Linked DNA regions of Caenorhabditis elegans. The protein of the gene in region 3 interacts with the protein of the main gene of each other region in a pairwise test. Each region holds a gene or a part of one and is shown on either strand. Other genes may lie near its edges. The genes, in order: picc-1, ifa-4 and pac-1.

Region 1 (3,756 bases), on a different chromosome or scaffold from region 3:
CAATGGCGTGCTGATCATCGATAATTTCCTCAAGTGATCCGACTGCCATTGGTGTTCCACGGAGCTCGTCCACCTTGGCGCGCTCTTCTTCTTGTCTCTCCTCTTGTGGCTTCAAACGCTCCTGGTTTTGAATGAATTCTTGCTCCATCAACAAATAATCCTTGATTCTTTCGCTCTTCAGCAACTTCAGACGGCATCTGGCATGTGGTGTGACTAAAACCGAATCATCAGTTAAAATACACACTAGATTGAAACTTACCAGCTGGAAGTTTGCTAGCGGCGTCAGGTCCCTTAGACCCCTTCTTCTTCTTTCCAATCCTAGATGGAATCGGTGCCTCATATTTCTTCTTTTCCTTCTTCTCTCCATCTCCGGCACCGCGGTCATTTCCTCTTCCACCGAAACCTGACTGTTGTTGCCCCATTCTAGAAAATAATGATTTTATATGAAAAATAATAAGTCCACGTTTGAAAAAGAAAACAATTGAAAGATATAAAATAAGTAGAACGAAGAATGATTTAAAAAAATACAGCGTTGATGATGACAATGCAAGCGCGCTCTGGTGAGAACTAAACAACGCGCGGTTTCGTATTTTCGGAGCTTCGTTGTTTTTATTGACGAAGCCACATGTCTGTTTTATTCAGAAAATCTAATTTTTCAATTGATTTTTAAGTATTTTCAGCGTTTTAAAGTTTGCAAACGATTGTTCATACTCTTGTTTTCAGTAAACATGATGCAATACATGCTTCTCTTCAGTCGCCAGGGCAAACTGCGGCTGCAGAAATGGTACACTGCTTACCCCGACAAGGTAAGTGTATTTCCTATTCATATGTGTAATTTCACACTCAATTTTCAGCAAAAGAAGAAAATTTGCCGCGAACTCATCACTCAAATTCTGGCGAGAAAACCGAAAATGTGTGCGTTCCTCGAATACAAGGATTTGAAAGTTGTCTACAAACGGTTCGTATTTTATATTCAAAAGTAACAACTCCCATTTCCTGTCATGCCTTAAAATTGTTCCTTCTGAAAATAACTTACAAGTTTATAATCAAAATTTCTTGAAAATTATAGTTACACACCTAAATCCGAAGTTATTACGTTTTTTATTCATGAAAAATATTTTGGCGTCAAATTTAGTTGTTTAATAGACATTTTTGTGATAAATGAAACAAAAACTTAACAATTCGTTCAATTTTTAATCTCAACAATTTCAGATACGCGTCTCTGTATTTCTGCTGCGCCATCGAACAAAACGACAACGAGCTCATCACTTTGGAAGTCATTCATCGTTACGTAGAACTCCTCGACAAATATTTTGGAAGTGTTTGTGAGCTGGATATCATCTTCAACTTCGAAAAAGCTTACTTCATACTCGACGAATTTTTACTGGCTGGTGAAATCCAGGAAACCAGTAAAAAACAAGTTTTGAAGGCGATTGCTGCCCAAGATCTCATTCAAGAAGAAGAAACTCCACAAGGATTCTTCGAGGATCACGGTTTGGGATAATGAAGATAATAGTAACATAATTTATTGACTTTGAAAGCTTCCGTAAATACCAAATACTTCCACCTTACTTTATTTATCCTGGCTATGTGTCTGGTTGTGATAATATTCATGTGAATAAGAGAAGAAAACATTCATTTTTCAATCTTCCATTATGTATTCTTTCTGTTAGGAAACTTCAATGCATGACTTGCATTATTTCTACACTTTTTTCAATTTTTTCTTTAAAGTTTTGAACTTTCTCAGGTTTCGAAGCGGATGATTATCACAACTCCGAGACGAGGTGAGCTAATGTGAATTTTGCCGAGTTTCCCGCACATGAGTGTAAAACACGAACAGGGGAAAGGTGGATTCAAGGATAATTCAACGGGGGGTAATATGCGAACGTTGGCAGTGTAACATGTCAGTTCGAACGGAATGAATGTAGGAATGATTGGCACCTCTGCCGGAATTGTCATTTGTTAGATTACAAAGCACAATGTTCACCTTCTTGTTGGTGTCGAATTTCAAAATATCATTTATCTGAAATTTCGATAAGTATGATTAAACTAGTCAAAATTGTTTCGATCACTTCCGTTTTCTCAAAGTTTAATCATTTTCGTACAGTAGATGTTTGTGTCCTCTTCATGTTTTCTGCCCAATACTTCTTCCTCTTCCCATCCACTATACTTTGCATTGTTTTTGGTTTTACATTGAACAAGGGCAGTGAAGGCGGAGACAGCGGGAAATGTTTCCGCGCGGATTCACTCATTCTCTCAAGTATCCATCAATTTGCTCCAGCACACACTTGTTCTTTCACCTAGTTTTTGAGTCGTAGTTAATTTTTGATCTAAAATCTTGGCAGAAAGCAGAAGTACGCATCACATTATTTGAATAAGTATTCGCATTTTCAATATTCGCAGTCCATGAGACCCTAGAAATCATAAACAAACCTCGCTATTTTTTTCAGTCTTGAAAATCAGCCAAAGAGTTGGTTCGAAATAACGCTTCCCAGTTGCTTTTAACTTTAGGAAAGAACGATTTCAAGTAATAACAATAAATGTATATAATTCAACGGAACTCCATTTTTCACTTGGTAGATTTAAATTAGCTTTACGTGGTGCATTAAAAATAATCACATGTTGAAAATCGATAATAGTTTTTCCTAATAGCAATGTACAAGTAATTGGTTTTTGTGGGTACGCAGAACTAAACCAGGTTTTGTTCTCGCAAGTTGCGACGAAAGTGTGAATGTTGGCACCCTGCCGTGTTCACTTCTTGTTTCCCGCCAAACGACTTGCAATTTGAGGTCGTACTCTTACTGGCAAACCTTTATTTTGCAATTGATGACAGAACCAAGCATATTTGCAATTACTATAATTCCAGTTCAAAATCGTAACCTTTTTTTTTTAGTTTTTTGGAAGTTTTCACACCTATCAATACTCTAAAAACAGATTAGACACTTAATTTTGCTACACAGCTGCCCAGATGGTGCAACCAGTAAAAGGTGCGAACAGACTGAAACAGTCTTCCTATTGCATATACTTCCCGGAAACGTGACGGTGCCCTCATTTCCTAGTCAGAATACGTCTATTAACCAACGTCAATTATTTATCGTCATATGTGTTCTTCTGCAACGTTATTGTGCACACAATATTGCGCTGAATAAAATAGACGTAATCCTCTCTCTATGTATCTATAAGATCAGATTAGTTGTGTGGGAACCTTTATCGAGATACCATCTCTTTTTCTTTCAGTTTTTACACTGTCTTTTTTTGTCTGTTGTTCCTCATGAAAGTATCGTCTAATCCACCTTTTCCTCTTTCATTCGGGGCATTAACTTCGACACCTAAATCGAACGAGACTATCCATTTTCATTTACTCAAAGTCAATCCCAATTCTACACAAATGCCTCCCACTTTTGTGGTAAATCGTATCTGACAGTTTTCACAGGAAGCCATTCCACGAAACTGGTACTGTACCACATAGTCATCTTTAATTTGTGTCACGTAACATGAGGTACAGGTGGTGGCATACCTTCTGTTCTACGTCTATAAATTTGATGCAACGTTCTTATTAACTACAGATATGCCATTAAATTGGAAAACTAGAAAAAGCATTTAGCTTAACCATTTTACCATGACACCGAAAGTTTGACCGCTTCAAAAATCTCACGTCTAGTTTGTTCCGACTAAAGTTTTAGATTCAATACAAATTAGTACGTCTACTTGGTCTCCAATCCTACCTATTATTTTCATTGTCGTATTGGAATAAGT
Region 2 (3,756 bases), on a different chromosome or scaffold from region 3:
TTTCCATTTCAAATAAACGTTGTTGAATTAGTAATACGTGTGTTGTTAGTTTAATTTTCATTTAAATCTCACCAAAATTCAATTTTTACTATTTCACCTGCGTGCAATTTTTGACTCATATGCACTACCCAACAAATATGTTATTTCCCTACCTCCCCCTCCCGCAATTGTAAAGCAAAAAAGTAAAAAAATGTTTAAAAAGAGACTCTCAAAATGCAAATGTTTGTTTTGATACCCGCTATCAATCCGCCCTTTTCGCCCATTTTTTCTTCTCTCCCTGATTTTACAGGCCGAGTTTCGTTTGTGTACATGAAGGCAACAGCTCCGCCTCCGTGTTATTTTGCATATATATTTCAGGCAACACCTACGGTTTGTTTGTCCGACACGGTCTCCTTAAAAGGGAGTACTGTAACTGAGCTTTTTTAAAAATGACACTGGTTCTATTTTTCCAATGCAACCTTCCTTTTAAACGTTAGTATAATACTTAAAAACAAAAAAGGAAAGTTTGTTTTTTTTTCTAGTTTCTTAATTAATAAAGTTCGCATGTACTGAAAAAATGACTCTTTTCCTGATGATAATGCAATTTATTTTATACAAATCATAAGTTTCATTAATCAACAGACATCTTAGCATTATGTTTCAGAACATTTTATGTAGATTTGAATTTTAAGGGAAGTTTTAATTTTAAATTCCGTTTTAAAGAAGACCGTTTGCCGTGAGTTTTTTTTTCAGTGTTGTTTTTATTTTAAATGTTTAACTTCAATTTTTTGGCAGTTTTAAAATGAACTTGTATACAAACAATTTCATTAATAATTGTTATTTTGGCTGTACAAGTAAATCACGAACCATAATCAAAGGCTGACTTGTAAGATGTCGGCCGATTTATCTAAGAACGAGATCGCGGGGTGCAGATTTGAAACAATCTGAACCTGTAGACAATATAATCAGCTAAATTTTATTTATTGAACTTTTTCCCAACGCTAATAGTTTCTGAGATAGACACAATCAAATAAATTTCAGAATTATAGATTAAGACCCTTTTGAACATTGAATTTTTAACAAGTCGTAAACATTTCACCTAAATTTTAGAACACGCAGTTTCGATGCTCTGAACTTATTTTTGTCAATTTGTATTCCCATTATCCTCCCCTTATCGCATACTAAAAATTTTTCCATTTTTCGATTTTAGTTTTGACGTGCTTATCTTTTGTCATCCCTTCACAACCAAAACAATTCAGAATAATATAAGGTGTTTACGATCCTTTAATACTCATGAATATGGAAACGTTGTGAAACAGTAGCATTGTGTATAAACACGCCATGACGGCAGCTAGCATCTAGTAATCGGTCACCGAATCGCCGTCGCCACCGCCGTCCGCTTTTGAATAGCGGTCAGTGCGCGTTCGTCAATAGCTCGATGAACCGTTACACTCTCCCAGTTTTTAGTTTCTGTTTCATTTTCTGTTTCATGCCTGGTTTTTTCCTTCTATAATTTGACTATACAGACAATTAGGAGTAAACCCTCCTAGGCATCCTCTTTCCACGCATGCCAAGTCCCGTCAAAATAAATAGTGCGCGCGCCAATTTGTAACACGGTTTTTTGTTCTGTCAAGAGTTAGGGCTCTCGAAACAGCTAATAGATCTCGCGCATTGTCATTGTGTCCTACAAACGATCCATCTCTAATCTGTGTCATATTCACTCATATTCTTGTCACATATGTATAACGTCATTTACTATGAGGTAACTTTTCTACACTTTTTCATCGAAAAATAGTTCGCTGTGTTTTTTTTTTAATTTTCGATTATGAAAATGCAATTAATTGAAAACTATTTAAGTTTCCATGTTTGTAGGAAATGTCGGAGAGCGAATACCGAAGCTCAATTTCGGTTCGACCAACGTTTAACAGAACAATGCAATCCACCGCCACCTATGGAAGTACTATTTGTGAGTTTTCAGATGAATATTTTGAATATGAGCAGTACTTTGTCTTTAAAATTGTATTATATGATGTATTATATGATTTATATTAAAATTAAACCCTCCAAATGTTTTAATTTATGTTTTACAATATTCAATTGGCAATATGCCAAACGTTCAAACAACAACCCTGACCTTTTGAGAAGTTTTGAACATTTTTGCTGATCTGAACTTTCAAAATGTACAAATAAAATCAATTAAAATTCAATTAAAAGAAAAAACTTGTGGAATGTTTTATTGTCTCACTACCAAAATTATGATTGGTGAAAAATGATTAAGTGAACTTTTTTGACTGTAAAGTTAAAAATAAAAATTTAAAAAGTGTTAAAAAATTATTAACATTAATGAATTGATTCCTCTGGAAAACCTACAAATTTTTTTTGTTTTATGGTCATGTTTGTCAAGTGTTATTTTTCAGTTCTGATACACGTTTAAAAACTACTTCAAACTACAAAAACTGACTTCCAAAAATTCAAATTTCAGCTTCTGGAACTAGCCGCACACTCAAGATCACAGAGATCGGTGGATCTAATCTAACATCAGGCATGTCTCCATTCGGAGGCCATGCCGCCTCTGCCATTCGTGAATCTCGTACTCGCGAGAAAAAAGAAATGAGTGAACTCAATGACCGCCTGGCGAGCTACATTGAGAAAGTTCGATTCTTGGAGGCTCAAAATCGCAAGATGGAGAAGGACTTGAATTTGCTCCGTGGAAAATGGGGACACGATTCTACAAGTGTTAAAGTTATGTATGAGACTGAGCTCAGAGTAAGTGAATGAATATTATATACAGCAAAATCTGAGAAACTTTAAATTCTGTTCAGAGTGCGAAAGACCTGATCGCCGATTCTGACAAAGAAAGAGCTCAGCTAGAAGATCAAATTAAGAAACTTGTTGAAGAGCTGAACAACTATAGAAACAAACTTCATGAGGCTGAAAGAGGTGCTGACGTTACACGTAAAGAGCTTGACAATGTGCTCGGAAGACTTGGAGCATTGGAAGCCGAGATTGAGCTATTGAAAAGAAGAATTTCTCTGATGGAAGAAAGCATCGGTCATTTGAAGCGCGAAAATCATCGTATGATCGACTCACTTCATCATGCCAGAAATGTAAGTTTCAGTAGAAAACTTAATTTATATGTACAGCTTTCAGGCTGTGGAACAAGAAACTCTGAACCGCATCGATTATCAAAATCAAGTGCAGACACTACTGGAGGAGTGTGATTTCATTCGCAGAATTCATGATTCGGTATGAAAAACAATTAGTACAGCTTTCAACGAGTGTCTTTTTCAGGAAATCCACGATCTTCTCGCTATGGCATCTCGTGATACTACGGTGGAAAACCGCGAATATTTCAAGAATGAGTTATCCTCTGCTATTCGTGAGATCAGAAGCGAATATGATCATGTGAGAAAAGTCATTAAAAGAGGTAAAAAATAGAGACTTGAATTACAGGTGAGCAACACTACCCGTACTGACATCGAGTCTTGGTACAAGCTGAAGGTTCAAGAAATTCACACTCAAAATTCTCGCAACTGCTTGGAGCAGAATTATGCTCGCGAGGAAGTTAAGAGACTCCGCACAACACTTGGTGATATGCGTGGAAAGATGGCGGATCTAGAAGGAAGAGTTCGTTTTGATGACTATATACATCTGATATTATTTGTCAACATTTCAGAATCTTCTCCTCGAAAAACAAATCGAAGACCTCAACTACCAGATGGAAGAGGATATGAGATCATATGAACAATCACTGAACGATAAGGACACATCGATCAA
Region 3 (3,756 bases):
CATCCTTATTTAGGATTGGTTTACCTCAACCACCATGCCAATTTCATCGCATCGCAGTGTTCCTAGTCATTTTCGATGTGGTAGTTTCGTTTTGATCGGTCCAATTTAGTCTCTTATTTTCCTACTTACCAGTCACAATACTACCGACATCCCCATCGTCGCCACAATCGGTTACATAATAATTATCGTTCGCAATCGGGCGCCACTGCCGCCACACATTCACTCACAGACAGTATACTGTTGGGCACTGATGCTTGTTAGTGTGGTACACGACGACGACAACCATAGATAATTCGCTCATTCATCAGAATCTGAGGACGAGATGAGGGCCACGATGATGATGACAAGCGTGTCAAGGTGAACTCGCGTAGTCTTTCCGTCCGTGTTTGCCTCGTTTTCGCGCGCGCACCCCTTCTTCACTGGCGCACCTGGCTTGTGTCCTTTTCATCGAATCGCTGTCCTCTAGATGTCGTTAGTCTCGTTCCTTATTTCATTTAACGTTCAAGGTTCCTAATATTCTCCATAATTTGTAATTCGAAAAACGCTTCGAATTCTCTCATTATCAAAATTTACGATATCAGCTCATGTGCTTTGTAAATTAGTTTCAATCCGCCCAAGATTCATTTCTATTATTGTCATAAAATGATTTTATTTGGTTTTGTTCTGAAAATTCTGAGACATTCTTGATCCACTCATTAAGATCTGAGAATCTTCCGTGCGAGATTTGAAACTTTTTGAATAATCTTTCGTCTATCATCTCTCTAAATATCTACATCTGGATGGCACATCCGGGTGTAAAACTATAAGATGCCAATCGACAATGATGAGGGAGAAACAAAAAAAGAAAGGAGGATTTACTTTTGTTTTCTTTTCGAACATCTGCTTTTGTCCGCGTTTTTTTTCATCCTCTTTCCATTTCCCTGCCAAGTGGGAACAAGTTTTTTGTTGAAAACTTCTTCCTCTCCCCCCTCCTCATTTCCCTCCTTGTCATTTCATTCATTTTCCTCGACAAATTCCATATTGGTTTTGTATAATGATACTTTTAAATTTCTCGAATGTGAATTTTTAAGCATATGCATCCCAGCCTAGAAGTGCCCTGATTTGAATTTTATGAGCTGAGCATGAAGAATATCTGCATCCTCACCTCTGCCGTATAATGTGTGCCAGCCCACGCCTGCACAAATTTTATTGGTCGTTATTTTACGCCGTTGCAATGAAGGTATATCGGTACACCTCAACTACGCACTTTTTGATGCTCAACGGATTATTTGAATTTCAAACTAAGTGAAATCGCTATAGCATTTACATTTATAATGCATTTTGTATTCACAGCGTACCGTTTTGCTATTTACTCAAATAGATTCTTTTCAAAATTCATAAAAGTGGATTGATTGCTCTAAATCGTCTAGTTTAAAAATTTTTTCATTGTATTTTTAAATAAAAATGTAGAAAAATATTATTAAGAAAATACTATCACAGTTTGTTCAAACAATTTATTTTTGATCAACCTCGTCATTCGAACTTCAGCAGGTAGATCAAAAGTAAATTATATGAAAAACCTTGATTGTATCGAAATTTGTAGCATAATGATTAAAGTTTCGTGATTCCTTGCCGTAACCTTTTCGTAGTCAGAACGCGCCAGACAAACCTTCGAATTATCAGAAGCTCAAAAATATATGTTTTTGGTTTATCATGGAACGAAAATATTTCTAATTGGATTCTGGGTTCAATTGCTACTGCTCCGAGGTCATTTCTTTGTGAACATGCATAATATATTTCCTTTGTTTCCCATTCCTCTGCTACACTTTCTCCATTTCCTCCAAAAATTTTGGACGATGCTTTTCGGATCGCTTTTCTTTTGCTTTCTCAAGAATATTTATTGCTTATAAAATTGTTGTTCCTCAAAACTCTATATTACTCTCTTCTAACAAAAAATACAATTTTCAGATAATAATAGTGTGCGTCAGACGGCACACGACGTCAAACACGTCAAACATAACGAACAACAGAAGAAACAAGGAAAGAAGAGTTTCGGCTCGATGGAGGAGCACCATCGACGGCTCCATGTCAAGGCGGAGCGTGCGTCGGTGATAGGAGGAGACATTGTCGACGGAGCATTCGGCAGTTGGGCTCTTCGAGCAGCACGTAGTGAGCATCAACTTAAGCAGCAGAGTAACGAAGATTTAGCTCAGGTTGGTGGAATAAATTACATTTTGTTCAAATTAAATATTTTTGTTGAGAAAAGAAATACAACAGAATTGAAATAATTATTAGCAAGGTTCGAGAAATCTAGAAAAAAAATCGAAAATTAAAAAGCGAAAATTTTCCAATTTTTTGTAGCAAATTAACAATAAAATTAAATTAAAAAAAAAATACTTTGTGCATGTTGATTTAAAAAAAATCATGCAATTTTCTTTAAAACAAAGGGAAAATGACCAAAATATTGAGCTATTTTTCGAGATATAAGAAAAAAATTTTTTCGATTTTAGTAAGAATCGAAAAAACGACATCCTTGTTTGGAATATCGTATTAAAAAGATTTACCAAAAATGCTAATAACTATTTCGAGCTCTGTTAAATTAATTCTGACAATTTTACTTTTTACAGACGTTTAGCTGACGCTACTCGTAGAATTAACTGTAAAATGTAAGAAACAGAAAATGGAAAAAAAATTCCTGATTCCATTAGCGTTCTATTCTGAAAGCTATTTAAGTAAAATTGGTAGTAGAAAAAGCAGAATGATTAACCATTTTCTCCTTTTTTCGCCATAAAGAATTGGATTCAGTGCAGTCAGAATCACGGCTTTTCTCCTCGTTTGCATCTTTCATAAAATCGGCTCCGCGCTTTCCTGCTTCTTTCCGATTACCCATTTTCTTTTATCCGATTTTATGTGCTGTACGATGAGAAAAGCCGAAATTGGTGAAAAATAAATACGGAATACGGTAGCTTGATAAATTTCAATTGTCCCGCCCCGTTCTCTAGTATTCTTTTTCTTTTCGTTGGAACAGTAAATTATTTGTAATTTCAGAATGCTCGAATCTCGGCATTGCTCGGTGAGATGCGTCCAAGAATGTCAGCGATGCCACCAAATGGACATCAACAGCAATATCAGCCACAGTTGAGAAGAAAAGCAAATACGACAAATATTGTGGATGTATCATCACAAGTTCCATCAGGTAAGGAATATTTATTACTCAGATGCAAAATTTTTCTATTTTCGCTCCAAAAAAATACGGTACACCGTCTCAAAGTTTCCGATGTTCTTGAAAGCAAGCGAGTGTGCGCCTTTGAGGAGTACTGTAGTTCCCAAGTATTTTTTGTTGCGAGATATTTTCGAATGTTTCATAAGTGTAAATCTTTAAAATTATTGAAAAATATGTCAACATATATTTTTTAAAATTCATAAAATCTTGAAGAAAAAAATCAGCAAAACATAATTTCTACACGTGTTTTTTGTCGAAGAAATTTAATTTTTTTCCTTACTAACCAAAGGTGCCATCGAATTTTTTTCAGAGCCGATCAAAAACGAACAATCGAATAAAAAATGTTTAGAAGATTAACAATAAAATTCAATTTTTAAAATCAATTTTTGTTTTTTTGTTTGTAAATAAAAAAGAACAATTTTATTTTTAATATTTTTTTTTGAAATATCGGTTTGAATTTAAAAAAAAAACTGCAATTATTCGATTTTTCTTAAAATCAGAAATCAATTTTTTCGATGATTGTGAAAAGTCGACACCCTTGCGCCCAAAGAAGA

The links.
Region 1: the proteins of pac-1 (region 3) and picc-1 interact in binary tests that used the Caenorhabditis elegans proteins (3 or more experiments, as listed by UniProt).
Region 2: the proteins of pac-1 (region 3) and ifa-4 interact in binary tests that used the Caenorhabditis elegans proteins (3 or more experiments, as listed by UniProt).

Annotation. Positions count from the first base shown.
Region 1 is NC_003283.11:6,017,247-6,021,002, forward strand, and holds the start of picc-1 (PAC-1 interacting and coiled-coil domain-containing protein 1), read left to right. Parts: upstream 1-1,747; 5' UTR 1,748-1,759; coding exon 1,760-1,784; intron 1,785-3,756. Other genes in the region: rpt-2 (putative 26S proteasome regulatory subunit 4), read right to left, coding at 1-213, 260-422; aps-1 (AP complex subunit sigma), read left to right, coding at 729-806, 855-958, 1,213-1,504. UniProt on the Caenorhabditis elegans protein: Linker protein which helps to recruit the Rho GTPase-activating protein, pac-1, to adherens junctions.
Region 2 is NC_003284.9:4,914,075-4,917,830, reverse strand, and holds the start of ifa-4 (Intermediate filament protein ifa-4), read left to right. Parts: upstream 1-1,851; 5' UTR 1,852-1,854; coding exon 1,855-1,945; intron 1,946-2,461; coding exon 2,462-2,745; intron 2,746-2,801; coding exon 2,802-3,086; intron 3,087-3,129; coding exon 3,130-3,225; intron 3,226-3,270; coding exon 3,271-3,384; intron 3,385-3,432; coding exon 3,433-3,606; intron 3,607-3,655; coding exon 3,656-3,756.
Region 3 is NC_003281.10:8,493,071-8,496,826, forward strand, and holds the start of pac-1 (GTPase-activating protein pac-1), read left to right. Parts: upstream 1-2,039; coding exon 2,040-2,192; intron 2,193-3,027; coding exon 3,028-3,175; intron 3,176-3,756. UniProt on the Caenorhabditis elegans protein: GTPase-activating protein for members of the Rho subfamily including Rac1, RhoA and cdc42 and other Ras-related subfamilies including let-60.